Rhinolophus ferrumequinum: one gene and its partners. The protein of the gene in region 2 purifies or fractionates together with the protein of the main gene of each other region. This does not show direct contact. Links are inferred from orthologs where the notes say so. Each region holds a gene or a part of one and is shown on either strand. Other genes may lie near its edges. The genes, in order: NCL, LARP7, CCNT2 and SF3B1.

Region 1 (7,590 bases), on a different chromosome or scaffold from region 2:
CATCACTGCTGGCTCAAATTCATCCTCATCCTCATCTTCGTCCTCATCTTCATCCTCATCTTCCTCTTCACTGTCATCATCTTCCTCATCACTGTCTTCCTTCTTGGCATTCTTGCCATTCTTGGCTCCCTTGGCTGGGGTGGCTGCTCCTTTTTTGCCAGGGGTTGCTACCAATGCTTTGCCTGGTGTGGCTCCCTTCTTGCCAGGTGTCACCACTGCTTTGGCTGGTGTAACTGCTGCCTTTTTGGCAAGGGCTGGTGTAGCCACTGCCTTTTTGCTGGGGGTGACAACTGCTTTCTTGGCTGGTGTGGCAACTGCAACCTTTTTTGTTGGGGAAACCATCACCTTCTTTGCTGGAGTAGTGGTAGCCTTCTTGCCTTTTTTCTGAGGAATGACAACCTGAAGAATAAAACAAACATAAGATTCTAAACTCAAAAAGGGAGCCTTGGTCCCATAACTGAGTGTTAAATTCTGGCTTTGCCTCTGCTTCAAGACCACATGCATTAGATCTATGTTGGCGTATTAAACTGGAGGATCATGTCACATGTCCTTCTGTATACCTGTGAGGTCAATCCTCATTTTCAGGTAAATACCCAAGCATAAGAAACACTTAACACTTAAAATACCACTAACCCAGACCTGTGAATTTCTGTACCCCATACCTTATAATTGTTTCAGCTTTGAAGCAACATCCTAAAATGGACTCTAAGAAGTTCTGGTCAAGATGGCAGAGTAGGTAAACATGTTTGCCTCCTCCCATTACACGCTAAAATTACAACTAAATTACAAAATATCAACATGGAAAACCATCTGAACATTAGCTGAATAAAAGTCCTATTAACTAGAGGAAGCCACATCAAGACTGGTGTCTACATGTCAAAACTCAGCCAAGTGTACGCCTTATATATACGTACTTATTTATATTTTAATTATATCGCAATGAAACTATTAATAAACAATGCTGTCTAAAAATTTTTAAATGAACTCTGGAAATAGATTGCTGAAAATAGTAATAGAACCAACATTACATGTTGTTTCAAGGATTATGAATTGGTTTCTACAACTAAAAGCCTTCCACTTACAAAGCTCTACATGTTAAGTGTTATTAAACCATTGGGGATTCTTACTGTGGGTGGTGGTATAAAATTCACTGGAAGCTCATTTTTAGGACCAGAGGTAAAATGAGTACCAAATAGGCTGGATAGTCAATCCTTACAAAACCAATACAAATTTAAAAAATGAGCACTTAGCTTGATAAAAACATCATTCATCTACAGTTAAGTCACACGCAAAGCCACTTTTTGTTGACTGCTGGTTTTATCAGGTAATGGGTTAAAAAATAAAACCTTTACTAAATTCTAAACAAAAACCATGAGCAAATACAGCAGTTAATTGTCTTGATAGTAAGCAAACAGTCAGAAGTACCAAACAGGGTCAACGTTAACACAAAGGGAGGTGGCAAACCTCACCTCAGACCAAACTGTAACAGTGGCTGGTATTACAAACCTCATATGTGAAGAACAGAAACCTGCTTGGAGACTAGGAAAGGAACCTGGTAAGGCTAACTTCAGACCTCAATACAATGCTCAGTACTGCCACTTATAGGACAGGTAGTTGTCCAGGCTGTTTCCTCATATAGCATGTGGGGCTAACATGTTTAAACTGGAAAACAGTAATGATTTAATAATACATCATCACACTAAGCCCTGCAGAGAGTACATGAAAAGACTCCTAATCTTTTCTCTCATCCAAACTTACCCTCATGGTATCTTGACAAGTCAATGAAGAGCTTGTGAAAGCAACCATTACAAGTCATATACACGAGTGAACACAATCTTATTTTTGCCAGTATTTTCAGATATCCAATACAACCTGTTTTTTCTCTCCATTTTGTAGTTTAACATAATTCGGCATTAAACTGTATATAATTACCTCTTCTCCGCTGCTTTCATCTTCTTCATCTTCTGACATTTCCTCATCTTCACTATCTTCTTCTATCTCCTTTGGGGGAGGAGCCATTTTCTTGGGGTCACCTTGATTTTTACTGGCCTAAAATAGACATGGTAGCACATTACACCTCCCACATTTTAGGTAACTCATATTTTGCCATCATTTACAGTACAGTGCAGTTATCTCCCTTTCTCAGAACCCCCTTTTCATACTGTTAAATACCCCCGTTATCGTAAAAACTATTCTTGATGTCAACGTTAGCAATCTCCCACACATTTTTCCTGTCAGGTTCTACAAAAACCAATCTTTGGATAAAGAGGCAACTTCAAGGAAATGATCTCCCTCGTCCTGTTGCCTTTGTTAAGCACACCCGTTTTAAAAACTACGCCCAGAATGGAACTTTACATGAAGTACAATTTTTTTCACTCAGTAGCCTAAAATTGGACTATTTTAATGGCCAACAATCCACAGCCCTTCACCTAAGGAAAACTATCTTTAAAATGCCTTTGGTAGGGCTGGCCGGTTAGTTCAGTTGGTTAGAGCGTGGTGCTGGTAGCACCGGGGTTTCCGGTTCGATCCCCGCATGGGCCACTGTGAGCTGCGCCCTCCTTTAAAAATATGTATGTATTTTTTAAAAAACATTTGGTAAATTCTGTCACCTTATTCCACTACCCTCGTCTGAATTTAAATTAAGGCAACTTTCAAAAACACTTAACTACTTTTGGTCTTCTCACGAAGTGTTCCTTTCCCAGGGAAATAACCCCGCCCCTTCCAGACCCACCGGGTCCACGTGGGGGGACTCACAGGTCACCACGTGCGCGCAATCCGGCAAGGAAAGCACGCGGCAGGGCCACCTTCCAAAGCCCACCTCGGGTCCCCCCACCTAGCCGGAGCCGCGATCCAGCGGTCGCTGGGCCTCCAATTGAAGCAATCCCGCCACTCCCCGCCTTACGGCTGGGTCCCCTCCGGAGACGCCGAGACCCACTTGACGCGGCCCACGTGGCCAGCCGGGCGTCGGGGCACGTGCGTCAGGAGGCGGGGCCCCGCTCGCGCCCGTCGCAGGAGTTTGGCCTCATCCCCCCATCCTGAGGCCCAGCGCCCCCTCCCCACGCTCAATCCCTGAGTCTTTCCCTGCCTCATAAACCACCCGCAGCACCTGCCGAAGCTCTTCACCTCGCCACCAAGTAACCAAAAGCCGCGAGAGCTCCCCGCTAATCACGCGAGACTTCCCACAGCATGGCGCCCTCGAACGCGCCTGGGACGGCGCAGAGGCCCTCCTCCTCGCGGCGCCGCGCGCGCGCTCCTCGAAAAACAGGCCTCGACATCCGAGCTTGGGCGAGCAAAGCATCTTACCTTTGCAAGCTTTACCATGATGGCGGTTTATGACGGCGGAATGTGTGGCGGACGAGTGGCGCAAATGAGCCCAGAGGAACGCAACGACGTCTATGGCGGCCGCTGGTACTGAAGATCCGGAGCGCGTATACTTGGCTGCCAGCTAGAGCTCGAGACTGAGGCGAAAGACTGAGCCTGCCCAGTAATCGCCTCTGGAAAGGCGACGACGGCGACCTCGTGACTCCGTTTCAACCAACCAGAGTTCGCGCTCAATCCATGAGCCAACCGTGAGCCTCTGTCGAGAACGGCGCGGGGCGGAGCGTGGGCGGGAGTGGGCGGGCCGAGGCGGCCAGAAGAGAGGGAGGAGATTCGATTTCGGCGCCCTGGGGGCGGGACTCGCTTTGTGCAAGGCCGGTGCTGATTGGACGGTGGGCGCGCGGTTTCCGTAGTGCCCCTCCGTAGCCTGCGCTCGTGGCGCCTGCGCCGTGGGACGGACGTTTATTGGCACCGCGTGTGCGGGATCCCGCGGGCGCTGGTACCTGCGCAGTTCGGTTCCCTAATGCGTCCGGGGTCCTGAAGACTCAGGTGGAGTTTCTCTGCCGCCCTGTCCCGCCCTTCACACTCAGCCTCCCGGAGGCCGTGAAGAAAGGAGTTCGCCCCCGTTACCGGGCTGATGAGCCCCAGACCTGAAATTCAGGGACCACAGGTTCACAACGCCTTAGTCGGAGGTCCACCGCTTGCCCCACCCGCCAACGATCCACGGCCAGAAAAATCTCCCTATCTGCAGGTGATTCCCTACCGGGCCACGTGCCTGAGGTTGTCTCCTGAGAGGTGTTAATAAAGGCAATTGCGTATATTCGTGAGGTTTACTGTGGCCAGTGCATAAACATTACATTAATCTCAAGGGTTAGGTTATTTCTTCCAATGGGGAACAGGCTGGAAAGAACTTTCTGGCGGACACGGAGTGTTAGAACTGGGGTGGGGAGAGGAACTCGGTCAGGCCAACCACAGAGCCAGGTCTTTGACCACTCAAGTTCCCTCTGTGGGACTAAAAATGTCCGGCGGAGAAGTTCGTGTTAACCAGATGGTCCAGGAGTAGGTGAAGAGAGCCAAGGGAAAAGTTCCCTCAATGGTGGAGACACAGAAGATTCTTTGTTGAGCTTTTGCCGATTACTCAGATAGGTCACTGTGGGCAAACTAATTCGTGCCAAACTTAGAACATTTCCTTTAGAGCTTACCTGAGATACATCCTGGGCATCTGGTGCCTAATTGTTCCTACAAAACCAGGATACTTTCAGGTATGATGATATTTCCCCAACTGAACTGATAACTCAAAATCATCTCTGGAGATTCTAATTAAAGAGGTAGGTCTGCGTTGGGGCTCAGAATTTTGTATTTTAACAAAGGCCCATGGGGATTCTTATGAGCAATCAAGTTATTTTGCAATTCTTACTAGAATGCTCTTGGGAGTGAGTGTATAGGAGTTTCCCCCTGGGGCTCTCTGATCAAGGAGGAGGCTGGGACTGGTTCTGTGGTCTGCACCCTGCTTTCTGATCCGTGGAAAGCCCCTGAGGAGATTCACGATTTGAACTCTGGGGTGGGGCCTCAGGGAACACTTACTGGGTGACAGGACAGAAAGAACAGCACGAACCAAGGCATGGTGGAATAAGACCCCAGTGTTCCCAAGCAGTTTGGCACAGAGCACGCCGAATGCACTCATGGGAAGAGGCCAGAGAGATGCGCAATGGGCATGATCAAGAGATAGATGAGGACAGCCGGATGGCTCAGTTGGTTAGAGCGCGAGCTCTCAACCACAAGGTTGCCGGTTCAATTCCCACATAGGATGGTGGGCTGCGCCCCCTGCAACTACATTGAAAATGGCGACTGGACTTGGAGCTGAGCTGCGCCCTCCACAACTAGACTGAAGGACAACTTGACTTGGAGCTGATGGGTCCTGGAAAAAAACAACAGTTACCCAATTAAATATATATCTTTAAAAAAAAGAGAGAGACGGATGAATTTTAGAAATACTGGCATGGCTGGCTCCTTGTCATTCAGATCTCAGTTTACATCGCCTCTTAAGAAGCCTTCCCCAAGTCTCCAATGAAAAGTGCCACCCAGACTCCCTATCACGTCACTGTAATTGAGTCTTCTACAGGTACTTATCAACACCTGTAATGTTTCTTGGCTGTTCATTGTTTGATCCCTCCCCAGCCATGGCAACACAGACTTTGTTCCCTACTGTATTCCCGGAGTCTAAAGCATTGCCTGACACAAGTTAGTAGTGAACATTATTTGTCAGTGAATGATATATTTCTGTAAAAGAAGCAGTGGAGAGAGTCAGTACAGTTTAGTGTTCACGTGCCTTGATTCGGATCAGTCTGGGATAGAAAAATAATATTTACTACTTATGTAATGCCTACTAAGTTCCAAGCACTATTCCAGTTATTTATTAATTCATTTACTCTTCAAAATAACCTTTAAAAATAAACCACTGTTTTACAGAAACTCGGGCAGAGGGAGGTAAATTAATTTGTCCAGAGTCACAAAGCTAGTAAGTGAAGGAGCTAGGATTTAAACTGAGACCTTGTTCTTTCATTGCAGTTTCTTTATAAAATGAGGATGATAATAGTATCTGCCTCTAGGGTTGTTCTGAGTATTAAGTGAGATGCTGCATGTATTTTTTGAGGGCATATAATTAATCCTTAATTAATATTAGCCATTATTATTATTGACAGATTTGGTGACTTGGAGAGAGAAGGAGAAGGGATCATTTATTTCCATTATCTGTTGAGTGTACATATATAAGCGGAGTAACACAGGGGTTGTAGGGTTGGGTGGAAGCTAATGAGTTCAGTTTGGGATATACTGAATGCACGATGATACCTACTGCTTCAGGCAATTGGCAGAGGTGGTCGCATGGCTGCAGACACAGATGGTATGAGGAACCTGCCCAGAATAGCAGCCGAGTGAGGAGAGAAAGCTGGGCAGATCCAGGCCAATGGTGGGAGACATTTGGGGTGGGAGAAGGCCCAGAAGCAGAAGCACAGCTGGAAAATGGGAGTTTTGGAAGCCAAAGGAAGAGAGGGTTTCAAAAAAGAGAAGGAAGATTAGTGTCCGATGCCACAAATAGGTCAAATAGGTGAGGCCTAAAGCTGGTCTATGGGATTTGGTACTAAGAGATGTTGGAGATTTTGACAAGACTTGTTTCAGGGTGATGGAGTGCTGCAGCAGTCGGAGACTTGAACAGGTGGGAAGTGGTGGTGATAAGTGTAGGATGGCCTTGTACAAAGCACTCCTAGGAGAGGAAGTGGTCGCTGTATTGGTTGGCTGAGGTTACCTGCTGCCCCCAGAGCTCCTGGGCTGACAGCACTCTGCACTTTGGCAGAGGAGGGAGGGCTTGGGTGGGGGGAGAGGTAAGGCGACCACATCCCCTAGAGGCAGCACTCTAATTCTTTTCCCCGACTTTTCTCACTGGGGAATTTGACCAGCTTCTGCCACCAGCCCAGAGCCTCAGGAGTACTTGAGCAGCCACTGGCCACCTCTTCTGGTCACTGTCTGACACAGCCCATTGCCATGGCCTGGCCAGCCCCTACTACCTACAGTACCTGTTTGCACTAAGGTACCCACTCTGGGCATCCACGGGCACCCAGAGACACAGAGAGACCCTGTCGGCCACAGTAGGCCTGACAGCCCATTGGAGGAAGTCTGCAGATGTTCAGAAGGGTTAACTCCAATCCCCAGATCCAGGCCTCAAGGAACCCAATGCCTCAGTTCGGCTCCAGCAAAGAAAAATGACCTCAGATATTTAAAAGAGGACTTCAAGCAGGAATTGGTTATAAGGTTGGTAGAATTGCTGAGAAGCCAAATGGGACGTAAGGCACAAGCAGGAAGCTGCTGCCACCCACAGACTAGGGTCCCCTGGAAGGCTAGAGCCACAGTGGAGGGACCAGAGCTGCTTTCAGGTTAGCTGCCAAAAGCAGAGGGTGGGAGGACACCCCACCTGGCCTGGAGGGGAATTCACAGCTTCAACTCCAGAGCTCTGTAAGCCTGCCTGAGGCCAGAGGGCAGGGTGTCTGCTCAGGCTGTGAAGGTGGGCGGAGCCAAGTTCCTTTTACTCACCCTGCCTGCATTTTTGTCTTTGTGGGTTCCCTGAGGCCTTCAGGTAATGTCCAGAACTTTCAGCCAGGTGCTGAAGTACGATCCTAAGCTCTTCCTTTCCTGCCCTTGGTTGGCATTTAGGCCAGTGTTTCCATGCATGAGGCAACTTGGGCTCAGGGGCCAGAATCAAAGGACCTGGCCTTCATC
Region 2 (7,664 bases):
AGGGCAGAGAGGTGAATCCTTAATTCTCCCCCCACTCCCATTCACTGGCACTCCTGCTAGCTCTACCTTTACCTTCATCGACTATACCCTGAATACAAACACTGCAGTTCTCCCCTCAGACCCCATTCCAAGCTGTCCCTGCGTCTGCTTCAACCACCACATCCTAACACAGCTGCTTCTCAGGTCTTCCACAGTCATCAACTCTCAGTCAGCAACCAGTCATCACTTAAATACTGAAGCCATGTCATGTTAACCGCTTGCACAAAATCCTCCAAAGGTTTCTTATCACACTCAGAATAAAACCCAGTCCTCTCTGTGACCCACCAGCCCTGCTCTGTCTGGCGGGCAGGGGGGTGTACTTAACTCCAGGCCCTGCTCCATCTGGCCATCTGGTCAGGGGTTACCTAACTCCAGCTCCTGTGAGTTCTTCCCAGCAGACCACCCCAAACACAACACGACACCTTGCTCTTTGTGACATGCTAAGGCCATTCCCATCTCAAGGCCTTTGCTCTTGCTGCTCTTTACTTTCCACCACATCTGTAGGGATTACTTCTTCATTCAGGTCTTGCAAACCACTGGCTCAATGAGGCTTCCTTTTTGACCCAATCTTAAATACCACTCCCCCCTTGCTACCTTAACCCTACCCACCCCCAGTCACTAAGGGCAGGAGGCACTTTAGCTTGATCACAACTGATGCATTTATTGAATAATTAGTGTATTTAAAAGGATCTTATAAGCTGTAAAGTGTTAAGCATTTCAAGTTCTTTTGTAAAGGGGTAGGATCATAAATAAAATACAAGCATGTCTATGATTATCACTATAACAGGATCCACTGCTAACTTTCCCTTCTGAAAAAAACTACAAATTATAAAGGGCTGACTACCAGCTCACCAATTCCTTTGCTTGTCAAAGCTACCATCTAAGGAAATAGTGGACAGAACTGCATAAGCACAGAGAGTCACAATTCTCCCAGAAACCAGACTTTCCCCATCATTCTCATATCTCAGCCCAGAGACTCCCTCCTCCATTCCTTCTCTGAAGGATTATTTTTGTGGCTTAGAGAATTAAATTCAGAAACTCTTACCTAGAGTGTATAATACATGTTTGCAATTGACATCTTAAAAATAGTATATATTCTGTAGCTAATCAAACATACCTTCAGTTATAGGAAAGCATGGATTTAACAAAAGATGTAGGACAATTTAGCTTTCCTACTACACCATGGCTGAGAAGATGAGAAAGTTACAATCTCCTTACACTCTTAGTCCTCAAAATCTTTCTCCACATCCTGTGGGTAACCAGGATGTGTGTGGTCAGTGCACACATTGCAAATCAAACTTATTACCTTTCTTACCCAGGCCTGTTCTCACCACCTCCTCTGATTTAAGGATGACACATTCCACTGAGTTCATCGAGCTATTTACTAGCTGTATGGATTTTGAGCAAATTACCGCATCTCTCCATGGTCTATAAAATGTGGGTAAAAAGTACACCTGCATAACAGGGTTTTGTGAAGATTAATGAAAGTAATGTAAATAAAGCACTTCAAATTGGCACTATACAGCACACTCATTAACATGTAACCATTATTATTTTATCATTTAACAACCTATGACTGAGTCCCATCGATTCCACCTCTGGAATGGCTATCTCCAGTGTTTTCCACAACCAGTGTCACTATAACATGGGAACAGTTTATAACCTGTTCTAGTAGTCACCCATTCTTCACAGAAACCGTGTTAACTTGTCTAAAACACAGAGCCCGTGTGCGGCCAGATCTAATTCTGTGACTTTGATGTTATACAAAATATTCAGCATTAGAAATTCCTTAGCACCTTGTTGGAACAGAACACATGTTTCAAAAAAATTGTTAAATAACCAGTGACAGCTAACTGGCGTCTAAACACGGGCTTTAAAGAACAAAAGTTACTGTGTAACAATGCAAATTACTTTACATACACTGTTTTACATCCTCACAATCCCACTGAGGGGGTTCTTCCAGCTTGTAGTGACAGAGGCGCAAAGGTTAAGTGACTTGGTCAAAGCTACTGGCTAAGCCAGCTCAGGCCTGACTTCCACACTGCCTATGGTTTAGAGCCTCTTGCTACCCCATAACCATGCATTCATTCCATGTTCTGACTCAGGAATTCTTACCCAGAAGTCCATGGCGTTTTGGGTGGGTTTCAAATATTCTTGTGAATATCATGAAGTTGTTAAAAGATAAATTTTAACGAAAAGGTAAAATCCAGAATCTTGTACAAACAAAACATGACTACATGTCAAAGATTTAAGCTAATCAGGGGACCAGTTAAGAGTTAAAAACCAGTTCAAAGGAAAACTTAAAAAGCAGACACATATATAAGCACTCAGGAACACTGGAATAAATTTGTTAGTAGATGCAAAACTGGCCAGGGCAGTAACTGAAAAATTAACTAGTTGCAAGACCATTTCCATTGTTGTCTTTTTCTACAACTTACACAACAGTAAAACAGCTCAACGACCAGGAAAGGCAGCGATAACCTGGAAGAGTGCGAGACAAGACACCCAGTATTTTTTTCCCTCGGCCATTTCAGAGCCTCACAACTTTTGCTGACAAATTACACGGAAAATGTTTTGACATGTACATGCATTTTCTTGGGGTGCTCGTCCACAGCTTTTATGATGTAAGGGAAACGGTCTGCCAAAAAGGTTAAGAACGTTGTTGTAGTGACAGCTGACTATTCAAGGACACGCCAACACTTGCTTGCCTCTGCGCCGTTGCTCTGAATGAGTCTTGTCTCACTTGTCTCACAAACCTCTATCCCGTTTTCCAGGCCCAGGTTAAATGCCATCTCCCACCAGCACGTCGCCCCTAATGAAACGCTCATCTGTTTTCCTTCCTCTGAGTAACGCAGTTAGTACCCGAGTACCCAGCACTTGTTACTTGTTAGCTCCCTTCCACAACTGGAGTTTCAACTGTTTGATGACAAGGACTTGTATCCTGAAAAAAAAAATGACTTAATTTTTTTTAAAACACAAGTCCTCACTTTCGCTATCCTTTGGCCGCCAAAGCTCAAATGTGTGAAGCAACAATTTCTCGTGTAACGACCGCCCCTGTCGGCAACAGCTCTTCCGCACGGACGCCGCCCGACGCCGGCGGGCCCCGAACCTCCGGCCGCGGAACACCGCGCGGGGGCCCTGCCCCTAACAACCGGAAGTCCCGCGCGGACGGAGGACCTGCGCGTGTGCAGAGAACTAGGACCGCGCGCCGACTGGCTCGCGGGGGGGGGGGGGGGGCGGGGTGGCAGGGACGACAGGTGACGGAACGGATTAACCTCTCCCACCTGAGCGACCCTAGAGTCCACTCGGAACTTACTCTGTTCAATCTTCAAAACACTGGGCCAGACACTGCGTCCTTGAGCCCTTCGCGTCTTCGGATTCTTACAGTCGTGGTTGTGTCCGCGTCATAAGACGAGCGACACGGCTCCGCCGGATGCCTCAGAAAGACGCGCCGAGGGGCTGCGCCGTCGGGCTGCGCCGTCGCTACGTCCCAGGCACGGGCGGCTCGGAGGCGGGGCCGCGGAGGCTCGCAGCCAATGAGGAGTTTGATTGGCGGCTTGGAGGCGACAGTGCCGGGCTGAATCTGGTGCGGTCCCGGGTTAATGACGTCACAGTCTTTCGCGGGAGAATTCGAGAGTGAGTTTTGGTCATGGATGGGTGAAGTGAGCTGTTCCCGGGTTTCAGGGAGGCGGCGTCGTTGATTCCGGGCGAAGGGACGAAGGAATAGGCTCCGCCGGAGCAGACGGCGAGATGCTATGGGCCCGGGACTGACGGTCTCCGTCACAGCTTGCTCCGACTCCTGGTGATGTTATAGTTGGGCCTCGTCTTCTCCGCCTTTCCCGGCCCCTGCTTTGCAGTTCCCGCAGACGTTTGAAGATCAGGGAGGGTTTTGCTGTTGGCTTTTAGGACTGACAAAGGGTCAAGCCTGCTGTCATTTCTGCACAGGATCGTGGTCATGAGAACCTTGGCAAATGAAAGGTGGGCTTGTTTTGGTTATTTGGTTATTGGGTTATTTGGATGGTTTCTTCACAGCATATTGGGTTTGTGATTCTGAAACGTTTAAACCTGTAAGCCTTTTTAGGTATTCGAAAGATCCTGCTTGTTCCAAAACAAAAAGACCAAAAATATCTCGTCGTACTTTCCAGAAGCAGTGGTTATATTTTAGTGAGAAGACCGAATTTCACACATCAATGTATAAACGGCACAATAATAATGTTGTGTAAGTAGGTGTGTATGTCTGTACTTCCGTAATGATCACAGAACGGCTAGGATCTCCTCACACCTTTAAAAACTTCTTTGCACGTTAAACTTTCACCCAGTAAAGGTGGGTGTGGGGACAGAGCCCCAAAAAGCAGTTTCCAGGCTCTCGGCCTCACATAGAAAGGTGCTGGCTCAGGTAGTAAATGGCCATCGACTGTGATCAAATGGCCATCAGCTGTGGCTAGTTGGCCGTCAGCTGTAACCAGTGAGCCATTAGCCATGAATATAACTGCCGTGGCTAGGCTAGTAGCAAAAGAAAAAGGGGGGAGCTAGCAAGAAGATGGTGGCTGAGCCTGCAAGCGGCACAGTGAGGGTTGAGAATTGTGTTGCTCCTGGTCCCCGTGTCTCCAACCCAGCCGCCAGTGACAGTATAGTGGTATGACTCCCCTACCTATGGCTTCGTGGGTGTTCCTTTTTGGCCTAGCCATATCCTGCGTTCTTGTGTGGGGAGCGGGACCAGAGACCCCGCCGGACGCCCCGCACGACACTTGGCGTAGTCGGCAGGATCCCCTGCACTACAGTGGGTCAACACTTGAATTGTTTGACAGATGCAGATGGATGAAGACTTTCAGAAAATGTTTTCTTCTTGCACCTCACTTAAATTTATGATGCTGTTGGCTAAATCCATTTGTCCTGTTTAATGAAGTCAGGACTCTTCTAAATATTTTAAAATCCAGTCAGCCTTTTTTTTTTAGGTTTAATCCTTGTAATCTAATTTACCATTTATGAAAGTTTGGACCTTCACAATTTCTTTTAAGATGTAAATCCCACAACTAATTTAGGAAAACAAGGGGGAATTTATCTTGCAATTCCTAAATAGCCTATAAGTAATCCTGAATTAGCAAATACTGTATTCCTAATCTATAAATTGTGATGAAAATACCTGCTCTTCGTGATTATGAGGCCGACAAATATGATATGTAACGTGTCTAGTCTAGTTCCAGCCTGACATCGTAGGTACTCAATAACAGTCTTATAATGTAGTATCTATGAGTGTGAGCACCAGTTTTGACTACCTGGCTTTGAATTCTGAATCTGCCATTTATTTACTTTACGATCTTGGCAAATTACTTCCTTGTTTTATAGCTGTTTCCTTTTTGTAAAATGAATGTAAAACCTATGATCTGCACCATGAGGTTCTGAGCATTTAAACACCTTAACAATGCCTGCATGTAATTGCACCAAATAACTGGTAACTGTTGTTAGAAATCTAATTAACAACTGCCACGTCCCAAGAGCTGTCCACACCATATCATCTCGAGTCCACATACAGAACTGCAAACCCGTTCAGTGGCTGGGCCCCAGTGGCACTAAAAGCAGTGGTGAATGAGGTGCCTCTCTGGACCCCCAGTTATCTTGGCATACCTTAGGCATCTAGCAATTCCAGTGGGCTGGAGTGGGGGGACAGGATATGGGAGTTGCATTTCTGTAGTTCTGGGTCCTGCCCTGTGGGCTCTGTCTGCAGCAAGTATTCATCTCACTCGCCTAACCCTCACCCCGTTTTTTCTCTCACTGGCTGCCAGAGCGATCTTGGTAAATCCCAAGTCAGATGATGTCATTTTATCCTGAAGATCCTGCCATGGCTTCCTGTTGTCTCACAGAAAATCCACACAACTCCGCCCACACAGGAGGCCCTCAGAATCCTCTTTCTGCTCCTTTTCAGTCTGTGCCTGCACTGCCTTACACCTGGCTCGCTGACTGCACTGCTCCGCGTTCCTTGATCCAACCTTGCTGTGTCTTCCACAGGCTTTGATCCGTATCGATTCCTGTTTGGAAATTCCTTTCCTGGCATCTCTCCTTGGTTAGAGGTTATTTCATCTTAAAGCTTAGGTATTACGTCCTTGGGAAGCCTTGTTTGATGCCCTAGGCCGAGTTGGGTGCCCTTCCTGTGCTTATTCCTGTTATATTGTAATTACTGTTCATCACTTCTCAATACTCCTTGAGATTGGAAATAGTATTTTCATTTTTGTCTCATATAGTAAGGTCTGGCTTTTTGGTCTGGCACATAGTAAGGACTACATACATATATGTAATTTATAAATAATATGTAGGTGGCCTATTTTATATCTATAAATGAGGAATTGAATCCAGAATTGCAAATTATTGCTCTATTGACCCCCACCCCCAGGTCTTACAGGGTCTGTGCTCAAACTCAAACATGTACCACTATCACCTGCAAGGCTTGTTAAACCACAATGACTGGGTTAAACCACAATGACCAGACTTTCTGATTTAATAGGTCAAGGCTGGAACCCAAAAATTTGATTTCTAACTACTTTCCAACTCATGCTGTCATACCTTTAGAAAAGGGGTGTCCAAACTGCGACCCGCGGGCCAACTGCGGCCTGCAATTCATTTTTAATTGGCCCGCAGCAAATTCCAAAAATTTATTTAGTTTACTTAAATAAACCAGGTGAGGCAATACCTACTTCACCTCGAGTGAGTGGCCCGGCTATTTATGTATTTTACCACATATGGCCCTTGGTGAAAAATGTTGAAAAAAGTTTGGACACCCCTGCTTTAGAACCACAGCTTTCGGGGAAAAAATTTTTTTTCTTTCACATCTCTATTTACTTCTTCAATTTACCATCAGTGAGTTTAGATTTTCAAATTTGCCCACAATGACAGTGTTATCCATTAGTGTAGAGTACAGTACTCATTGCAACGATGTTGAAAAGACTTTTTTTTCCTTGCAGAGGTATTACAAGGTGTATTGGCACTAGGTACCGTGATATGTTGACTTTAAGATGTAAAAGGAAAAATTTTAGAGTCAAGGGGGCCATCTTGTGGTGACCACATCAATTCTGAAAACTTAACAAATCAAAGCTCTTTCTGTAAGGAACCAAAGCTGGTGGGAGGGGGAGTCATTTTCTGGTACATGTTATGGCACCTGGAAAAATGTTTTGCAGACTAATTATTTATATATTTTACTTAGTTTTCTTTTTACTTGGGAAATTTTTTTTCCACAATGTGGTGTCACTCTTGTGTCCTCAGTGGCAGATAATTTGATTGCACTGTATTTCCCTTGGTCGTTACAGTCTTGGAACTCTTAGATTCCACTCTTCTGTCAAGAGTTGTGGGGAAATTTTTATTTAATACTGATTCTTTTCATCAGGGTGGAATATTCTTTGTCACTTTTCATTTTAGGTGGCATAAATAGTTGAATAACCGCTAACTATTTTCTGGACTGACTGATTTATAACTTCTGAAGAAATGATGGAAAGCCAAGAGTTTATCGTAAGTCTTATTTCCTCTTTTCTTCCCTCTTCTTCCACATTTCATAAATGTTGCTAGAGTTGCCAGATTTTGCAATAAATAAACAACCTTCCCCCAAAAAAACCCCTAAAAGCAGGACACTCAGTTAA
Region 3 (8,272 bases), on a different chromosome or scaffold from region 2:
AACATAACACTAATTTTATTCTTAAATACAATAGCACTTGACTTTTAAAGAATTTTTTATTTTTTAAATTTGTCAACGTAGGAAAATAAAGCCACATAAACATCAAAAAAAGTTTTAATGTAATCAGTGCATGATTCTTATAAAACTGGATGAGAGCTTGTCACTAACATCTTAAAGTTTAAGCTTCTTAGAGTTTAATTTTAGAGAATGGTGTTCAGCTTACTTTGTGGTGAAGGCTCATGCTTGTTCAAAGTTTACTATGATATTCCATTATAATCCTATAAAATACTTTTCCCAATGATGTCGGGGAGTATGAATTTAAAACTGACTCACATTCAATTTAAGACCACCCCCTTTACCCTAAAAGAATCGGGGGAAAAAGATAAGAGTGAGGCTATGCAAGTGCTCAAACAGAAACTTAAAAACCACTTTGGATATAATAGCAAAGACAAAAAAAAGAAGACAACAGTTAGATATGAAGAGTGAAATGTTACTTTTCAAAATAGAAATTACCACCAGATTTCAATTATTCTGCTAATAACGACTCAATGTAAAATGCTGAAGTTTACTTTCATACACATATAAGACACTAAGTAAGGTAATAAAAATACTCTTGCTTTTTTTATTGAACGACGGCATTTAAATAAAATAGTGAAAGTTTAAATGCAAGTGACCTGGACTTCACCAGTTAACTTAAAGTTAAACCTGTGAATTTTGGCTGTAAGCAAAATAACTCGTTTTAAAGCACACCAACCAGTCCATAGAGACAAATTATGAAAGAGGGAGGGTTCAAAATGAGAAGTGTAATCCTGTGGTGAGATCACTTACTGGAAGTAGAAAAGGAGCCTGATTCAGCAAATGGTACATCTGTAGCCACATAAAGAATTTACAGAAGTATTTTGACTTGTGATTTCTACCAGCATTTTCCTGGGCTACTAATGAGAAGCCACATTTATATTAGTATTCATTAGTTCACGACTGCCATTGGAGCCAATTTAAATAAAAATGTAATTCTCTCAATCTAAATGTCATTACCAAAAAGGCTTCCTCTCTCTTCCATAACACCATCATTGACCTAAGTCTGCATAAGACATTAACTACGAAAATGGATCAAGAATCATGCAGATTTAAAAGAGGAAGAGTAGAAGCAACTAAGACTGCAAGAGACCAAAATGTACACAAAAAATAATGTTCAAGACAAACCTATATGCCACTCTACTAAACCAAGTCAGACTTATGATCAAGAGATTAGAATAGGAATTAATCTAAATTATCTTTTCCTTCCAATTCAAAAAAAATATTTTAAGGATCTTTTCAAACACTGTTTTCTTAGCAAAAAGGTCCTAATAACAATCCAGAAAAAAATAGAATAAAGTCTTCTATGGTCCACTTTTCTACACACACCTTGCAGAATAGCATTCTTAAATTAGCTGTGATAAAAAGACAAAAAATACAGTGAAAATGTAGGAATAAACATTTCTAAACAATACAAAATTGTCTTTGTTAACAGATGCAACACAGTATGGATGCTACTCTGAAAATAACAGACATCAAATTCATCTTTCATAACTTAAAATAAAAACTTCAACTAAACGCCATTACTCAATTTGCCAAGATTTACAGATTATGCTCAAAATGATTGCCTTAGTATTGCAGAATAAGTTTTACTTCAACACACACACACACACCTCTGACATAGTATGTTTGAGCAAGATTTGACATTTCAATCACCAGAAGTTCAAGCAGACAACAAATGCTACTGTGTGATAACCAGCTACTTTTGACACCTTAAGAAATTGTGTTAGCAAATGAAATATTTCTGCTAAACATTTAACTCTTTTAAAAGATAATTTCAAACTAATTACACTTAGTTACAATTACATTAAGCCCACTTCATAGTATTTGAAACGACAGCAGTCTAACACAATTAGAAGATGTAAAACAGAATGACTATGTTTGCTCAAATTACATTGTACATTACTATTTGAAATTTATCAAAAGTATAAGATTTAAATGAATACCAACGTAATAAATCCTTTGAGTAAAGAAATGTTTCTTATTTATTTTTTAGCTCAAAAGACCTAGCAAAGCCTAACCCAGTGCCTGGCAGCTTGTCACCAAAAATTTAAAAAACAAACCAGAAGTCCCGCATTTGAAGCAAAACGTTCATCACTAGATTTATCTTCACTGTTATCTTGGAACACTAAATCCAACAGTAAAATCCATAATCAACTTTTCTCTGCATAACGGTTTACTGCAAATTTGGTTGTAGTAAAAACAGAAAATAAAATAGTACTTACATTTCTATTGAACTTGGTGAAAGAATGGTACATATAAAACCTGTGCATATAAACAATCGCAGTGTTTATTGTAAGCTGAGAGCTGAATCGTAACATTTAGGAAATAGATCTGAGAAAAACATGGTCTCATTTCCAAAACAATTTTCATGGAAAATTCTCGACCTATAGTTCTCTTCCAGTGCCTCCCGTTCACACAAAACCAACCCAAACCTGTAAGAAAATAAATAAATAAAACCCCGTGCGGGGGAGGGGAGAAGGCTCCACACCAAACAGGGATAGTAACAACTGCTGTTTCCCTCTAATATTGCTATTATGCGAGCCGAGGAAGGATTTATCAATGGTTACGACTGACTTAACTCAAAACCAGTTAAACCGCGCGCGCACACTCCTACAAAACCACGCCAAGAACATAAAGACCTCCAGTGCGCTCCCAAGGTACAAGAGGACCGCCATCAAACAGGCGAGGAACGCGGGGAAAGGCTGCGAACACTTAACGCCTTTCAGCATAGCTAACCCTCCTACCTTTCAATCCCTGCTCGGACGAGAAGTCCAAGCAGCCGCCTCTTCGCTGCGATAATCCCTAGGATTCCCCTCTCGCCGCGGCGGCACTTCCATCCCCCGCCGCTACCACGCGCGGCCCCAAGCAGATTACACAACGCAGCCTCCCACCCCGCGATCCCGGACTCCTCTCCTCCTCCGCTGGACGTTCGCAGCCTTACGAGCCTGAGCCTGCCTTCCCTTACAGCGCTGCCGAGGCCCACCGAAGGCCGAGCCAGCGGCGCCATGTTCGCGGGACACCAGGCCCGGCGGCCGGGCGAATAGTGAGGGGGACAGGGCGTGAGGGGCGGAGGGCCAAGAATTGGAAAGGATACACATTGAGACGCTGTCCCATGTCCTGGATGAGGTTGGCCGCCTGCTGTCTGTACGAGAGCTCTCTATCCGCCTCCACTCCGCAGCGGCGGCTCGGCGTGTTCTCCAGCTGTTCCCGAGTAAAGAACCAGCGAGAAGAACCTCCACGGCCCGACGCCATGACACTTCCTCCTCCGCCCGCTCCCTCACCCACCCCCGCCCCTCCCGGCTCGCGGACTCCCCGCCGAGGCCGCGCGACCCCGCCCCACTCCGCTCGCCGTAGACCACGCCCCGCCCCTTTCCACCCCCGTCGCCGTCGGTGCGCGTGCGCGGGGGCCACTCTACCGGTTCGCGTTGGTGTTTTGCTTTCTTTTTCCTGTCCCGGGCTTCGCTCTCACGTACAGGACCACAATGCTCCGCGTCGCGTGTCACTTGGAGGCGCCCGGAGGTGGGGGTTGGCGGAAGGAAAAGGTCGGCGCGGTGCATGCCGGGTGTAGAATTGGTGGGGCCAAGGGGCGGGGAGGAGAGAAGAGGCTGGCCTGGGGTCGGCCCGTGTGAGTGGCGGGCGGGCGGCTGCGCTGTGCGCTTGGGCGTGGATTCTGAAATTCGGGCGGTCCTTGGGCCAGGAGCGTAACACCTTGTTCTGTCGACGCCACACGCCGCAGCCACCACTTTTCTGTAACGTTGGTCTACGCAGTGTCGTAGGCTTTCGACTCCCGTGCCTGTGACAAATGCTCTCCGCCCCACTGGAGGCTGTGAGAAGGACCTACCTGGGCAAGAGTGCATCAGAAACAACGCTCCACGTTTGTGTCGCACTGGAGTGTTTTTCCCCTACGTTATCTTGTTTGAATCCCACAACTACGCAGGCCGTGGGTTTATTTTCTTTTTTAATTGCTTGCCAAAAGTTATCTAGTTAGTAACTGGAAGAACCTGAGTTTGTAGACTAGGTTTTGAGGCCGTAACAATGATGTGTTATTAAACCCCGCTACGATTTAAAAGAGAAGCAGATAATACAGGAGGGACAGTAAAAAGTTTTATTATATTTTGGTATTTAATACAGTAACACCGTACATAACTGTTTACTAACCTCTTGTGTCCCTGTAAGAAAATACTGTAGAGCTCCACTCTGAGCTAATACCCATTGTTATGAAAAAAGTTTCTAGGTTTTAACTATTTGCCAAAGAGTAGAGTATAGGCAGACATACTTGTTTTGAAAGGCAATTGATATTTTTAAATGAGTTCCTGATTAAAACTCTAGGCTTTTGTCATTGTTTTGGGCGACCTATATTCATTGTACTGCTGTATCGTGGTTCAGTCTGTCCCTCTTACACTACAGTATTGAGCTATTGATTTGGTTGCAGTAGGTAGTTACGAACAGTTGTCTATATAACTTAATTTCTTACCTACATTGCTTGTCTCAAATCTTACGGTGTTTAAAAGTTCCAGGATAGAGTGATGTAAAGGAAAGTTTATAAAGTGTCTATCTCCAACACTCCTTCGTGATGAAAACTCTAAGTGAATTAGGAATAGAAGAGAACGTCCTCAACTTGATAAAGAACACTTACAAAAACCCTGCAGCTTGCATCATGACTTGGTGGTGAGAAATTAGAAGCTTTTGTGCTAAGTCAAGGATATCCCCTCTCCATTCCTTTCAACATTGTACTGGAAGTCCTAGCTAATACAATAAGAAAAGAAAAGGAAATAAAAGGTGAACAGATTGGGAAGGCAGAAATAAAACTGAGTTTGTTCACAGCTGACAATTGTTTATGTAGAAAATCTCAAAGTGTAAAAAATGGTGGAATTAGTGATTATGGCAAGATTATAAGATGCAAGTTTAATATGTAAGAGTCAATTGCTTTCCTATATACCAGCAATGTATAATTGAAATTTGAAATTACGAACAATACCATTTACAAAAGGTAATACTTGGGCATGAATCTAAAATATGTGCAGGATAAATATGTAGAAAACTATATGAATATGTAAAATACTCATTAAGGAAATGGAACGCTACTCTGAGTTCATGGGTTAGAAGACAATATCATGCGATGTCAATTCTTCCCAACTTGAGTTATAGACTCAATGCAATCCCAATAAAAAATTTAGCAAGTTATTTTGTAAATATATAAAAAAATTTGATTCTAAAGTTTATGTGGAAAAGCAAAAGACCCAAAATATCTAACCCAATATCAAAGAAAAAATTGGACTGAAACTACCCAACCTCAAAGCTACAGTAATAAAAACAGCATATGTTGGCAAAAGAAAAGACCTAGCAATCAATGGACTGGAGTAGAGAGTCCAGAAATAGACCTCCACAAATACAGTCAACTGATCTTTGACAAAGGAGCAAAGACAGTTCAATTGAGAAAGGATAGCCTTTTCAAAAAATGGTGCTAGAACAAGTGGACATTCATATGCAAAAAAAAAAAAAAAATCTAGACACAGACTTTAACAACTTTCACAAAAATTACCTCTATATTGATTATAGCCCTAAATGTAAAATGAAAAACTATAAAACTTCTAGAAGATAACACAGGAGAAAATCTAGTCGACCGTGTGTTTGGCAATGAGTTTTTAGGTACAACAGCAAAAGCATGACCCATGAAAGAAAAAATTAAGTTGGACTTCATTAAAAATAAAGACTTCTGTTCTGCAAAAGACGCTGTTAAGAGAGTGAAAATACAAGGAGAAAATTTTTGCAAACTACATATCTGATAAAGGACTTGTATCCAAAATACGCAAGGAACTCATAAAACTCAACAAAGAAAACAAAGAACCCATTTTGAAAATGGGCTAAAGAGGTGAACACTCACAATAAAAATACACAGATGGCAAATAGGCACATGAAAACATGTTCAACATCATGGAGTAAGAATATTCTCAGTAGCCGTTCATAATTGCATGATTGTTTGTGAATTGAGGATTTGATGATAATGATACATCTATGCAGTGAAATACTAGTCAGCTATTAAAAAGAAGGCATCAAAGTACTGAAAGAAAAAAACTGCTAACCAAGAATACTCTACCTACCAGTTTCTTTTCAAAATTCAACTCTAGTTGTGTCATCCCCTACTTAAAAACCTCATTGCTTTTTGATAGACAAAATTCTTCAGCTTACTTATGACCCCATATGATCTTGCCAATTTATACCAAGAATGTCTTGCTTTCTTACTTCAGTGGCCTGATTTCTTGCTATGTTCTCTCCTGCCATAAGGCTTTTATTTATGCTGTTTTCTCTGTGCTGAATACTCCTCCCCTCTCCTCTTTGTCTCTAACTTTTAGCTTTTGTCTGCTCTTTCTAACACCAGCTTAACCAACACTTCTTTCAAAAAAGTCTCTCTCCAACTCTGACTAGGCTAAATCCTTTATTATAAGCTCTCTACACACTGTGTGCTCCTTCATAGCTCTTGTCATTGTAGACGTTCTATATTGATTGGTTGCTTATTTGATACCTGTCTTCCTAACTAGATTATAAGCACCACTGAGGGAAGGAATCATGTTCGTTTTTACTTACATTACTCCAGCCCTTAGGGTGGTTTTTGATATGTAGCAGGCCCTCAAAAAATATTTTGAATGCATGCGAATGAGTGAATGAAGGCATAGTTCCTGCTCTCCAGGAAGTCCCAGTCTAGTGGGAAAATAGCAATTGTAATTCAGAAGTGTGCTCTAATAGAGATATCAGTACAATTTTTAAGGATGGGAGCTACTGATCAATGAAATCCCAAAGCCTAGAAACCACCACTTTAGGTCTTGAAGAATTTAAGGAGAGAGAGAAATATGATTAGGTGTGTACTTTGGAAATTTTCCCCTAGCAACAGGGTGGAAGATGGATTGTACCAGATTAAGCCCAGAGTCTAATATAGATAAGAGATTATGTCAATAGTCCTGGTGAGAGATGAGGACTTGAATTCAGTTAGGAGCCATAGGAAAGAAAGAATAGATAAGATATGAAAGATATAAAAGTGGTAGGATCTATTGGATTTATGACATATTTTATATGGGTGAAAGAGAGGATTTAGGTGACTGGGTGGTGCCCTTAATCAGAGTTGATAGTATAGGAAGTGGAACTAACTTTTGGGATAAAAGGATTGAGTTACATTTGGGGCATATGATTCTCTAAAGTACCATAGTATTATAGCTTTAATTTTTTTTTTTTTTAATGCCTAAAGCTGTTAGGACTTCTTAAAACATTGTCTTCCCTTGACTTCAGAATACCACATTTTTCTGGTTTTCCTCCTATTTCACTCAGTGCCCAATGCTGGTTTCTCATCTAACCTCCAAGTATTGCCAAATCCCAGGAATTAGTCCTGGGTTCTTTTGGTTTTTCTCCTCTACTTTTTCTCCAGGTGATTTCATTGTCTCATTTCTTTAAATACCTTCTGTATACTGATGACCTCTCCCCAACCTCTCTCGGAACTCTCCAGACTAGTGTACCCAACTGCTTACTGCACATTCCTACTTAAATGTCCAACAGGTATCTGAAATATAAGAAGTCCAACAACAGAACTGTTGATTCTCTTCCTTCCCAAACCTGTTTATCCCATTGTCTTCCTCATCATAAATCTACCCAACTGCTCAAGTAAAAAAACTGGGAGTCAAGTTTTTAGCATTTATGTCTAAAGTATGCATGAATTTAATATCATTAACTACATCTCAGAGGCTAAATGTCCTCAGGATTATGGGCACAGAAAAGCATGGTTTCATTGATCTTTCTATTGTCTTTTTAGTCTCTCATTTATTTCCACTCTGATATTTGTTATTTCTTTCCTTCTACTAACTTTGGGCTTCATTCATTCCTTTTTTTTTTTTTTCAGTTCTTTGAGGTGTAGTTAGGTTGTTTATTTGAGATTTTTCTTGTTTACTAATATAGGCATTTATCACTATGAACTTCCCTCTTAGAACTGCTTTTACTGCATCCCATAAGTTTTGGTATGTTGTATTTCCAGTTTCATTTGTCTCAAAGTATTTTTGGGTTTCTCTTTTGATTTCTTCTTTGACCCATAGGTTATTCAGTAGCATGTTGTTTAATCTCTATATATTTGTGAATTTTCCAGTTTTCTTCTTGAAATTGATTTCTAGTTTCATACTATTGTGTTTGGTAAAGATGCTTGATATGATTTAAA
Region 4 (8,293 bases), on a different chromosome or scaffold from region 2:
AGTTACTATTACTTTCTTATCCCCTTTTTGTCACCATAGTTCTCCAATCCCTGTTTAACAACGTCCTTACATTAAATTTTCTATTTAAAATAACTGGTATAATTTTCCTGATTGGTCCCTGACTTACAAAGTCAGTCAGTAAGGGCAAACTGTCTAGTTAATCCTCTTTGATCGTCTGATTTTTATCAGAAACTAACATCTGTAATAGTATTAATCTCTTGTAACTCAGTTGCTGATTTAGTCAAGGAAGGTTTTCTTTCAACCTAACATTTCACAAAGATAATGCCTGTATGAAATCATTGAGCATGCTAGGAAGATTATTCTATTGATCAAAAAGGTGACAGTAATGAGTTTATGTGAATTTAAAAACTTGCTTTATTTCAGAAAAATATATGTGATATTTAAGTAAAGGTCTTGTTCTGTGGTTAAAATTCATCCTATATTTGTTTTGACTGGAGCGTTGATTAAAAACAGTATTAACACAAAATCATAGCCATCACTATTTACCTGAAGCCTTTCTGGTTCTGTTCAATTTAAATTCGGGGTCAATGTATGATTCTAAGTGGAAGTCAATCAGGAGGATTTCATTTGGGAAGATCACATGAAAGGCCATCTATTTATATTTTTATTACAGAAGATTTTAAACATCCACAAAAATTATATATAATACTATTATAAACTCTCCATATACCCATCATCGAGTTCAATAATTATCAACTAATGATCAATTAATTTTGTTCCATCCACTTTACTCCTCCACCCCACAAGATTACTTTAAAGCAAATCAAAGACATATTTCACCTGTAAAATCTTCAGTATGAATGTCTACTGTGTAGAGAGATACATTTCAGTCGAATTTCCCAGTTTTGTATGCCTTTTTCTGTTTAGTTTGTTCAAAACAAAATCTATTAAATAATGCCTCTTAAATATTTTAAATCTTCAATAGTAGATGTAAAATCTACTCCCCTTCTTCCTTCTTTACTTGACATTTATTTGCTGAAGAAATTGGATCATTTGTCTTACAGAATTTCTCACATTCTCTATTTGGCAGATTGTATCTCTTTGGTGCCTTTAACATGTTCTTTTATTCCCTGTGTAAACTAGCATATCTAAAAGCTTGGCCAGATTCAGCTTCAATTATTTTTCCCAGAATATTTAATATGTCGTGTCGTGTCAAATGTATTTTTAAGAGCATAGTTAGTTTGGACTCTAAGATATCGCTTCCCATAGGTCTGTGCTGAGTTTCATTTACTACCAATCATTTCACATTGTATAGACAAACCTTTGAACCCCCAATTTGTGTAAGCACTGTCATCCACTGAAACTGGACCAGAGTTTATTATATTATTACTTTTAAGCTTATGACATACATGTATTACTCTGCTGAGAAGTCAAATGTGTGTCATACACTGTCATCTATTACAAAGATTCCTTTATTTGCCTTTAAGTTTTTTTTTTAATTGGGAAACTATTCAATTGGGTGGCCCAATTCAGTAGGTATTTTCATGTCTGGGAAGAACTGAATGAGAAAATGTTTGGCGAAATTAATAAAAGAAGGCCTTAAAAGAAGTGCATAAGTAATTATACTAAAAAATATGTTTAGCAGGCCTTCTAGTTAACATCACCCATGGTTTGAAATAGAACTTAGCAGAAGGTGGTAGTGTAATGCCTATATTTTGTAGGCACTGGCAACCACTGTAGTTTTTTAGTAGGGGAATTATATGATGAAAATTTGTTTTTAAAGGAAGACATTACTGAAAACATTCAAGATTTAAGTCAAGAAGAGCAGGGATTGTGAATTTGAAGGTAATCTGATATAGAATTTTTTGGATGCAGCTTCAAAACCACCTGAATCGACAAACACATCCTATGTTGCATTGAAAAGTGTTTGACAAACTTTGTAGCTGGGAATTTCAACTCACTTCACAAAGCATCAAGTAAGGGATGACTGCAATGAACAAAGCAAGAGTAGAAAATAACAATCATACATATACATAGCAGCTGAAATATGTCTGTAAATGTAACTCAGATCAAGTCACTATTCTGCCCTCAACCTCAAATGACTTCCCTTCACACTTGGAATAAAATCCAAAGTTGGTACCATTAACCTCCCAGGCACTCTGACAAAGCCCTCACTACCTCTGATCTCATTTGCTACCACTCTCCTCCTCACTCACTGTAACCCAAAGCCTCTGCTCTTCATAAAACAGGGCAAAGTTGTTGCACTTGCTGTTCTCTCTACCTGAAGTAACTCCCCCCACCCAATATTCACGTAATTCACTTCCTCACATCATTTAGGTCTTTGTTCAATATCACCTCCTCAGCGGCCTCCCTGACCACCCTACATAAAGCAGTGCCTCACCTTACCCCTCTTCATCGCCTTACCTTGCTTTACTTTTTTCTACATCATATGATCTGATATTGTGTAGTATACTAATTGGTTTTCCCCCTGGAATATAAGCTCTATGATGGTAAAGACGTTTGTTCACTTATCCAGCACCTAACACGGCAGAGTAAGGGCCACAAAATATTTGTTGGCTACATTTAATCAAGTATTTCATTTACTCCTCAAAACTGCAATAGATAGTACTGCTATTCTCAGTTTACAGGAAACTGTGTGCACAACGGTTAAATAAGGACCTGGGAACAAAAGGGTTGGGGAAAAAAAAAACACGTCAGGACTTGATGACTGACGGATTCCTGATATGGGTGAATCAAAGCAAAGCTGTCTGGTTTTAATGGAATGAGGGAAACCCAAACCATACACGAACACCAATTCAAATGCTGGCCTCGCAGGAAGAAGCAGATAGAACTGAGTATCTTCCCTAAGAACGTGACCTTATGTTGCCCTTACAACCACCCCACGGGGTTGCGCCGCAGGTACTGTATTAGACAATCATTACCAGCAAGACTGACCGCCACACTTCGCAGCCAGGAGCGAGGGCGGGTCCGGCTCAGCACTCACCGGTTTGGACAGTTACATAATTAACACTGAGAATGTCCGGCTTCCTCCGCCCCGGGGCTGGGCTCACGTGCTGGGCCTCGCGACCAAGAGCAGCGCCCAAAAGAATCCCCGCGGTTGGCAAATCCCGGGAAGAGTTCCAGCGCAGGGGGTGGGGTGAACCGTCACCGCGAGTCTTACGTAAAGCGTCGGAGCGGGCGGCGAGAACAAGAGGCCGGCCGGGGAGGGGGTGTGTCCAAGAGGCCTGTTGCTCCCTCTAATTGGCGGGCAGAATGACCCGCGCGTTTACACTCGGCCCTACGGCGGTGGGAGCGTGCGTCAGCTTTGCGCAATCGGGGTGAGAGGAGGAGCGTGTCCGGTGGCTCATGGGGCTTGCGGATTGGCTGAAAGGCGCCGGAGCCAGGCGACCTGGCCCAGCCGGAGATGGGCGGTGCTGTGGGCTTGGTCCTGGAGTTGGTGACCGGCTTCAGTGAGACGATCATGGCAGCTCGGACTGGTCAGAGGGCCCTGAGAAAGGTGGTCTCGGTCTCGGGTTGTCGTCCAAAGTCGACGACAGCAGCTGGAGCCCCCAATCCGGCGCAGGTGCCTGCGCGGAACGTCAGGTAATAATCAACTCGGGCGCCGAGACGTGGGTAGTTTTCCACCCAGGCCTGTTGAGTGGGAGTACGAGGGGGGATTGTATATTAGATGAGGCGGAGCCAGATCCGGAGCGTTTCCGCGTCTCTGGAGGGAACTCCTGAGTTCAACATTTAAGGGACTCAGGCGCCGCGCTCATCACCCCGGGCCGGACGCTCGCCGGCCTTTCCCGGCCGCCCCGTCTGTGTTTGTGGCTCACTGCCCTCGCGAGAGACGGTGAATCATCGGCGTAGCGACGTTGAAACAGCTAATAAAGCAATTCGCCGACCTGTGCCTTTAGGCTCTTCCGGTCCCTTCCCCTATGGCCTGCTGCTTCTGTTGTCAGAAAGTTTTATATTTGCCTGTGAGGGTTGCGGGCTGCTGGGCGTCTTGGAGTTTGTGGCCTGGTGTGAACCCCCTTCTGTTCCTGCTGAGTGCCAGATGGCCAGACGAGCTTTCCCAGTTTCTGGTAGAGGTCTTTGCCCCTGCCCTTTGATTCTTGCAAAACTAAACGTAGGAGACGTGGGGGACTTGGAATTTTTTTTCCACTCCACTGTAACTTACAGGTCCTGTAACCTTGAACCAGAGTCTGCCTCGATTTTTGTTGTTGTTGTTGAGTGGGTGTGTAAATGCATGTGGAAAGGTGAAGAATTCTGTATTTCCACCACTTAGTTTCCTTTTAATAATAACATTGTAATAAGTTATGCTGAAAAATTAAAGTTAGTGTTTAAAATGAAATGAATTGTAGACAGTACGAGATGAAGGGAGAAAACACGAATCTGGTTGAGCTCCAGGACATTTAGATTCCATGAAGAATTTTTAAAATGCCTACAACCCAGCCAACTCATCATTTTAGACAAATACTGGTTAAAACTGGAATAAAATCATTTCAGGTCGTTTACTCCTGTTTTAGGACATAGCCTGAAAAAGTAATTCCAAGCAGAGCATAGCAAACGTTATCGTGCTGTTCAGATCTGCTTGTTTTTTGTTTCTCCCCTTCCTAGGCTTCCCCCACCCCTCCAGTTCAAGCCCTGTTTCTCTGTCTAGTGTAGGACACAGCTCCCTAGCCCATGCTGGTATTATGAGCCTTGCACGCAGTGGGTCGCCGACTGGATGTCCATGGCAGCTTGTGGCAGCTCTCACTGGCTGCCGTCTGCTCACGATAGCTGCCGGCCACTCACGATGGCCACCGGCCGCTCCTGGCAGCACACGCTGCTTATGGCCTCCCAACTCCAGGGAGAGCTGTTGTTCACAATCTTAGCTGTAGAGGGTGCAGCTCACTGGCCTGCGTGGGAATGAAGCCAGCCACCTCAGTGTTGGGAGCACAGCGCTCCAACCACCTGAGCCACCAGGCCCGCCCCTAGCTTAACCATTTTCATTGCTCTCTATTTCATTGCCTCTGGAATAAGCCCATCCAGTTTTTATAAATAGCTTTAAGTGTTTAAAAGTTCTTTTGTGTTACGGACCCCAAACTTGTCTCCCTCTACTTGGGCTTTTGTTTTACCTTTTGGAGCCGTATTTTCAGGTATCAACCCTTACTTTCCAGCTGAATATTTCCAGTTTCTTCGACCATTCTTTGTTTAACTTGATTTTCTGTTCTTCCCCACTCAAACTGTAGGGTGTCTATGTCCTTAAAGAAATTTTATTTATATGTAAATCATACTTTATATGGATAAAATTTTATATTTGATAACATAAAGAGATTTCACCAGGCCACCCCATTTCCCTTTAAAAAATAATTTGAAGATTTAATTTAATGAAATCTCTCTTACTTGAAACTCTTCAACAGCTTCTCACTGAGAATAAATTCCAAATTGCTTTATCCTGGGCAGTAATCCCCAGCATGATCCAGCTGCAACCTGTCTAACATTATTTCAGACACTCCCCGCCTGCTGTACTGCTGATACACTGTTAGTCTTTTGTAGTCTGGACTCCCTGCTGCCTGGAATGCCCCCTATCTCCCTCTCCTCCATATATAACTCTATATGTTACACACGTGTATGTGTTTACATATAGGCACACCCATTTATTATATACATATATACCTATGTCTCTCTTTGCATGGCTATCTCCTTACCACTATGTGTCAGCTGAAATACAACCTCAGCTGACTTCCTAGACCCCGATCTAAAGGAAGTCCTAATTGCATGTTCCCATCTTCTTTCTCTTTTAAGCACTTTTTTTTTGGAATCTTCAGCTAGAATGTAATCTTCATAAGACTCATGTTTGTTTTATTCACCATTATATCTATATAGTCACCATTATATCCATTATATGTCTAGCACAGAATAGAAGCTCAATAAGTATGTGAACTAATTCATGAATAGTAGTGTAAAATAGTTATGCAATAATCTCATTAGGGAAAGACTACAAATATTTAGGTGAACAAGGGTATATCGGGGAATCTGGATTCAGAAGTACCTCAAACAATTAAGATTATAATTACCTTGGCATATGTTTTTACATATATGCACAAAGTGGAGATCAGAAAATAAAAGGAGAGCAGAGTGACAGTTCTGACAGGGTCATCAGATCTCCAATCTGAGAATGAGACCTAATTTCAAATCTAATAGAGTAAATCAAGAATTAAGGAACCCCTATGGATCCAGCTGGGGAAAAAACCTGGGTAGATGAGTTGAAAAATACATAATGAATATTCTAGCAAGTGTATAGAAGAATACGTTGTGACACATGACTATAGACCAAAAGCCAACTTTTTGGGATAGATCCCTTTTGTGCCAGAAGCTTCTAACCCTAGCTATAAGCTGTTATTTTCAGTTTTCTTTACAGTGCTCAAAGAAGCTTGTTTTTTTTTTGTATGTGTGTGAGTGTGTGTGTGTGTGTGTGTGTGTGTGTGTATGTGTGTGTTTCAGGAATATTGTAAAGTTGCAAAGCCTTCTGAAGTGTGATAGGTATTTTACAATCTCTAATAATTTGTGTTTACAATTTCTGTAATTTGTTTTCCTCTTAATTTTCGATGTCTCTCTAAATCAAGTAATTTTTGTCTTTTTAGATATTTAGCTTCCTGTGGTATACTGATGAGCAGAACGCTTCCGCCAAATACTTCAGTGTTGCCTAAGGAGATATATGCAAGAACTTTCTTCAAAGTAGCTGCACCATTAATAAATAAAAGAAAAGAATATTCAGAGAGGAGAATTATAGGGTTTGTATATATTAGTTCTACTAAAAGAGCATGTTCACAATTTTCTATAGAGTATCATAACTTTTTTTTTTTTCTGGATTCTCTTCTTATAGACTAAGCTCTGTTTCTAGGTTGGCCTTTCCATAGCCCTTGCTGTTTTATAAATATTTGTTGAATGAATATAATTATATGGTAACTTTATAGGATAGATTTAAACCTTGACATGTAAAGAATGGACCTGTTTATGACCTGCATTGTTGTACACTGTTCTTTTCTATAGTGGCAACATTACTGATACATTGGCCCAGATATATTTATATATCTCCCTCACATACGCATATACATAGATGTACATACAGGCATACTAAGAGGCTCCTACCATCTAGAACGAAGGTTGGCAAACTTTTTCTGTAAAGGGTCAGATAGGAAATCTGTTAGGTTTTTGTGGACCATACTATCTATCTCTGTTGGAGCTACTCAACTTTGTCATTGTAGTCCAAATATTTTCCCTCATATATGACATAAACACATAATAATAGCTACCATTTATGAAACATTGTACACTGCCAAAATTGTTTCATTTAACCCTGAAAAGAATGCTTAGGGGTATTTTTCAATGATGAATGAAGAGAGTGAAGTGGAGAAGTTAAGCAACCTGCCTAGGGTCACATGGCTTACTATGTTTTAGAGGAGATATTTGAACACATTCTTTTCTGACTACAAAGTCCATCCCCTTGACTTCTATGTTGTACTACTTTCTTAACCTTTGTAGACTACAAAGGTTAAGAAATTAGCTTCCAGGATACAAGGTTTCAAACTTTTTCATGGGACTTATTTCAGTATTTATTTCAAAGTGTCTGAAAACCTGGGGAAGGTAGGTTTTTCTCCCACTCCCTCTGTTGTGGGCCTCATTTCATGATCATAAAGATTAATTTAAATTAATATGTAAAGACTTATTCTGGCATATTCAAGAAATACCTTTTTGTAATTTTGATTGTTATTATTTAAATTGCTTTATAATTTTGAGATGAATTATGTTTTAATTATGTTGATTCTTTATAACCAAGAATAATACATATCTAGATCTGATTTTTCAGGTTGTTTTTTACATGATTCCATGATGCAGAGTGGTATTGTTTGTTTGTTTATGATTTAAGCCCTAAAGTTTTTTTTGTTGAATTTATTTCTAGATATTTTGCATTTCTATGGTACTGTTGTTTTCTGTTTCTTGTTAGTATAGGAAAAGTATTAATTTTTATATATTTCATAACAGGCTACCTTCCTGAAATCTGAATTGATTCTCTCCTGAACTGATAGTCATATCACCTCCCAAATGATAAATTTACCTGATTATTTTCCATTCAGATGCCTCATATTTCATGCTCTGATTTAATTACTTTGACTAATACTTTCAGAACAATGTTACATAACAATGATTATAGCCAGCATCTTTGTCATATTTCTAACTCTAATGGGAATGGTTCAGGTATTTTACCATCTGTGGAGAGAATCATGTATTCTTCTTTGGGCTAATTAATACGGTTATAATAATATAATACTTAGTATGAAACCAC

The links.
Region 1: the proteins of LARP7 (region 2) and NCL purify together in Homo sapiens (affinity purification with mass spectrometry; 4 studies listed by BioGRID and IntAct, with this or other methods). This does not show direct contact. The link is inferred for Rhinolophus ferrumequinum from reciprocal best matches to the Homo sapiens genes LARP7 and NCL.
Region 3: the proteins of LARP7 (region 2) and CCNT2 purify together in Homo sapiens (co-immunoprecipitation; 3 studies listed by BioGRID and IntAct, with this or other methods). This does not show direct contact. The link is inferred for Rhinolophus ferrumequinum from reciprocal best matches to the Homo sapiens genes LARP7 and CCNT2.
Region 4: the proteins of LARP7 (region 2) and SF3B1 purify together in Homo sapiens (affinity purification with mass spectrometry; 4 studies listed by BioGRID and IntAct, with this or other methods). This does not show direct contact. The link is inferred for Rhinolophus ferrumequinum from reciprocal best matches to the Homo sapiens genes LARP7 and SF3B1.

The regions. Positions count from the first base shown.
Region 1 is NC_046291.1:6,951,077-6,958,666, reverse strand, and holds the start of NCL (nucleolin), read right to left. Parts: upstream 3,498-7,590; 5' UTR 3,322-3,497; coding exon 3,304-3,321; intron 2,050-3,303; coding exon 1,933-2,049; intron 400-1,932; coding exon 1-399. UniProt on the Homo sapiens protein: Nucleolin is the major nucleolar protein of growing eukaryotic cells. It is found associated with intranucleolar chromatin and pre-ribosomal particles. It induces chromatin decondensation by binding to histone H1.
Region 2 is NC_046301.1:269,458-277,121, reverse strand, and holds the start of LARP7 (la-related protein 7), read right to left. Parts: upstream 3,501-7,664; 5' UTR 3,356-3,500; intron 3,175-3,355; exon of another isoform or gene 3,027-3,174; intron 1-3,026. Other genes in the region: protein ZGRF1, read left to right, coding at 7,513-7,536. UniProt on the Homo sapiens protein: RNA-binding protein that specifically binds distinct small nuclear RNA (snRNAs) and regulates their processing and function.
Region 3 is NC_046291.1:83,225,038-83,233,309, forward strand, and holds the start of CCNT2 (cyclin-T2), read right to left. Parts: upstream 3,371-8,272; 5' UTR 3,331-3,370; coding exon 3,173-3,330; intron 2,383-3,172; coding exon 2,301-2,382; intron 1-2,300. UniProt on the Homo sapiens protein: Regulatory subunit of the cyclin-dependent kinase pair (CDK9/cyclin T) complex, also called positive transcription elongation factor B (P-TEFB), which is proposed to facilitate the transition from abortive to production elongation by phosphorylating the CTD (carboxy-terminal domain) of the large subunit of RNA polymerase II (RNAP II).
Region 4 is NC_046291.1:33,139,485-33,147,777, reverse strand, and holds the start of SF3B1 (splicing factor 3B subunit 1), read right to left. Parts: upstream 3,116-8,293; 5' UTR 2,966-3,115; intron 1-2,965. Other genes in the region: COQ10B (coenzyme Q-binding protein COQ10 homolog B, mitochondrial), read left to right, coding at 3,386-3,564, 6,591-6,740. UniProt on the Homo sapiens protein: Component of the 17S U2 SnRNP complex of the spliceosome, a large ribonucleoprotein complex that removes introns from transcribed pre-mRNAs.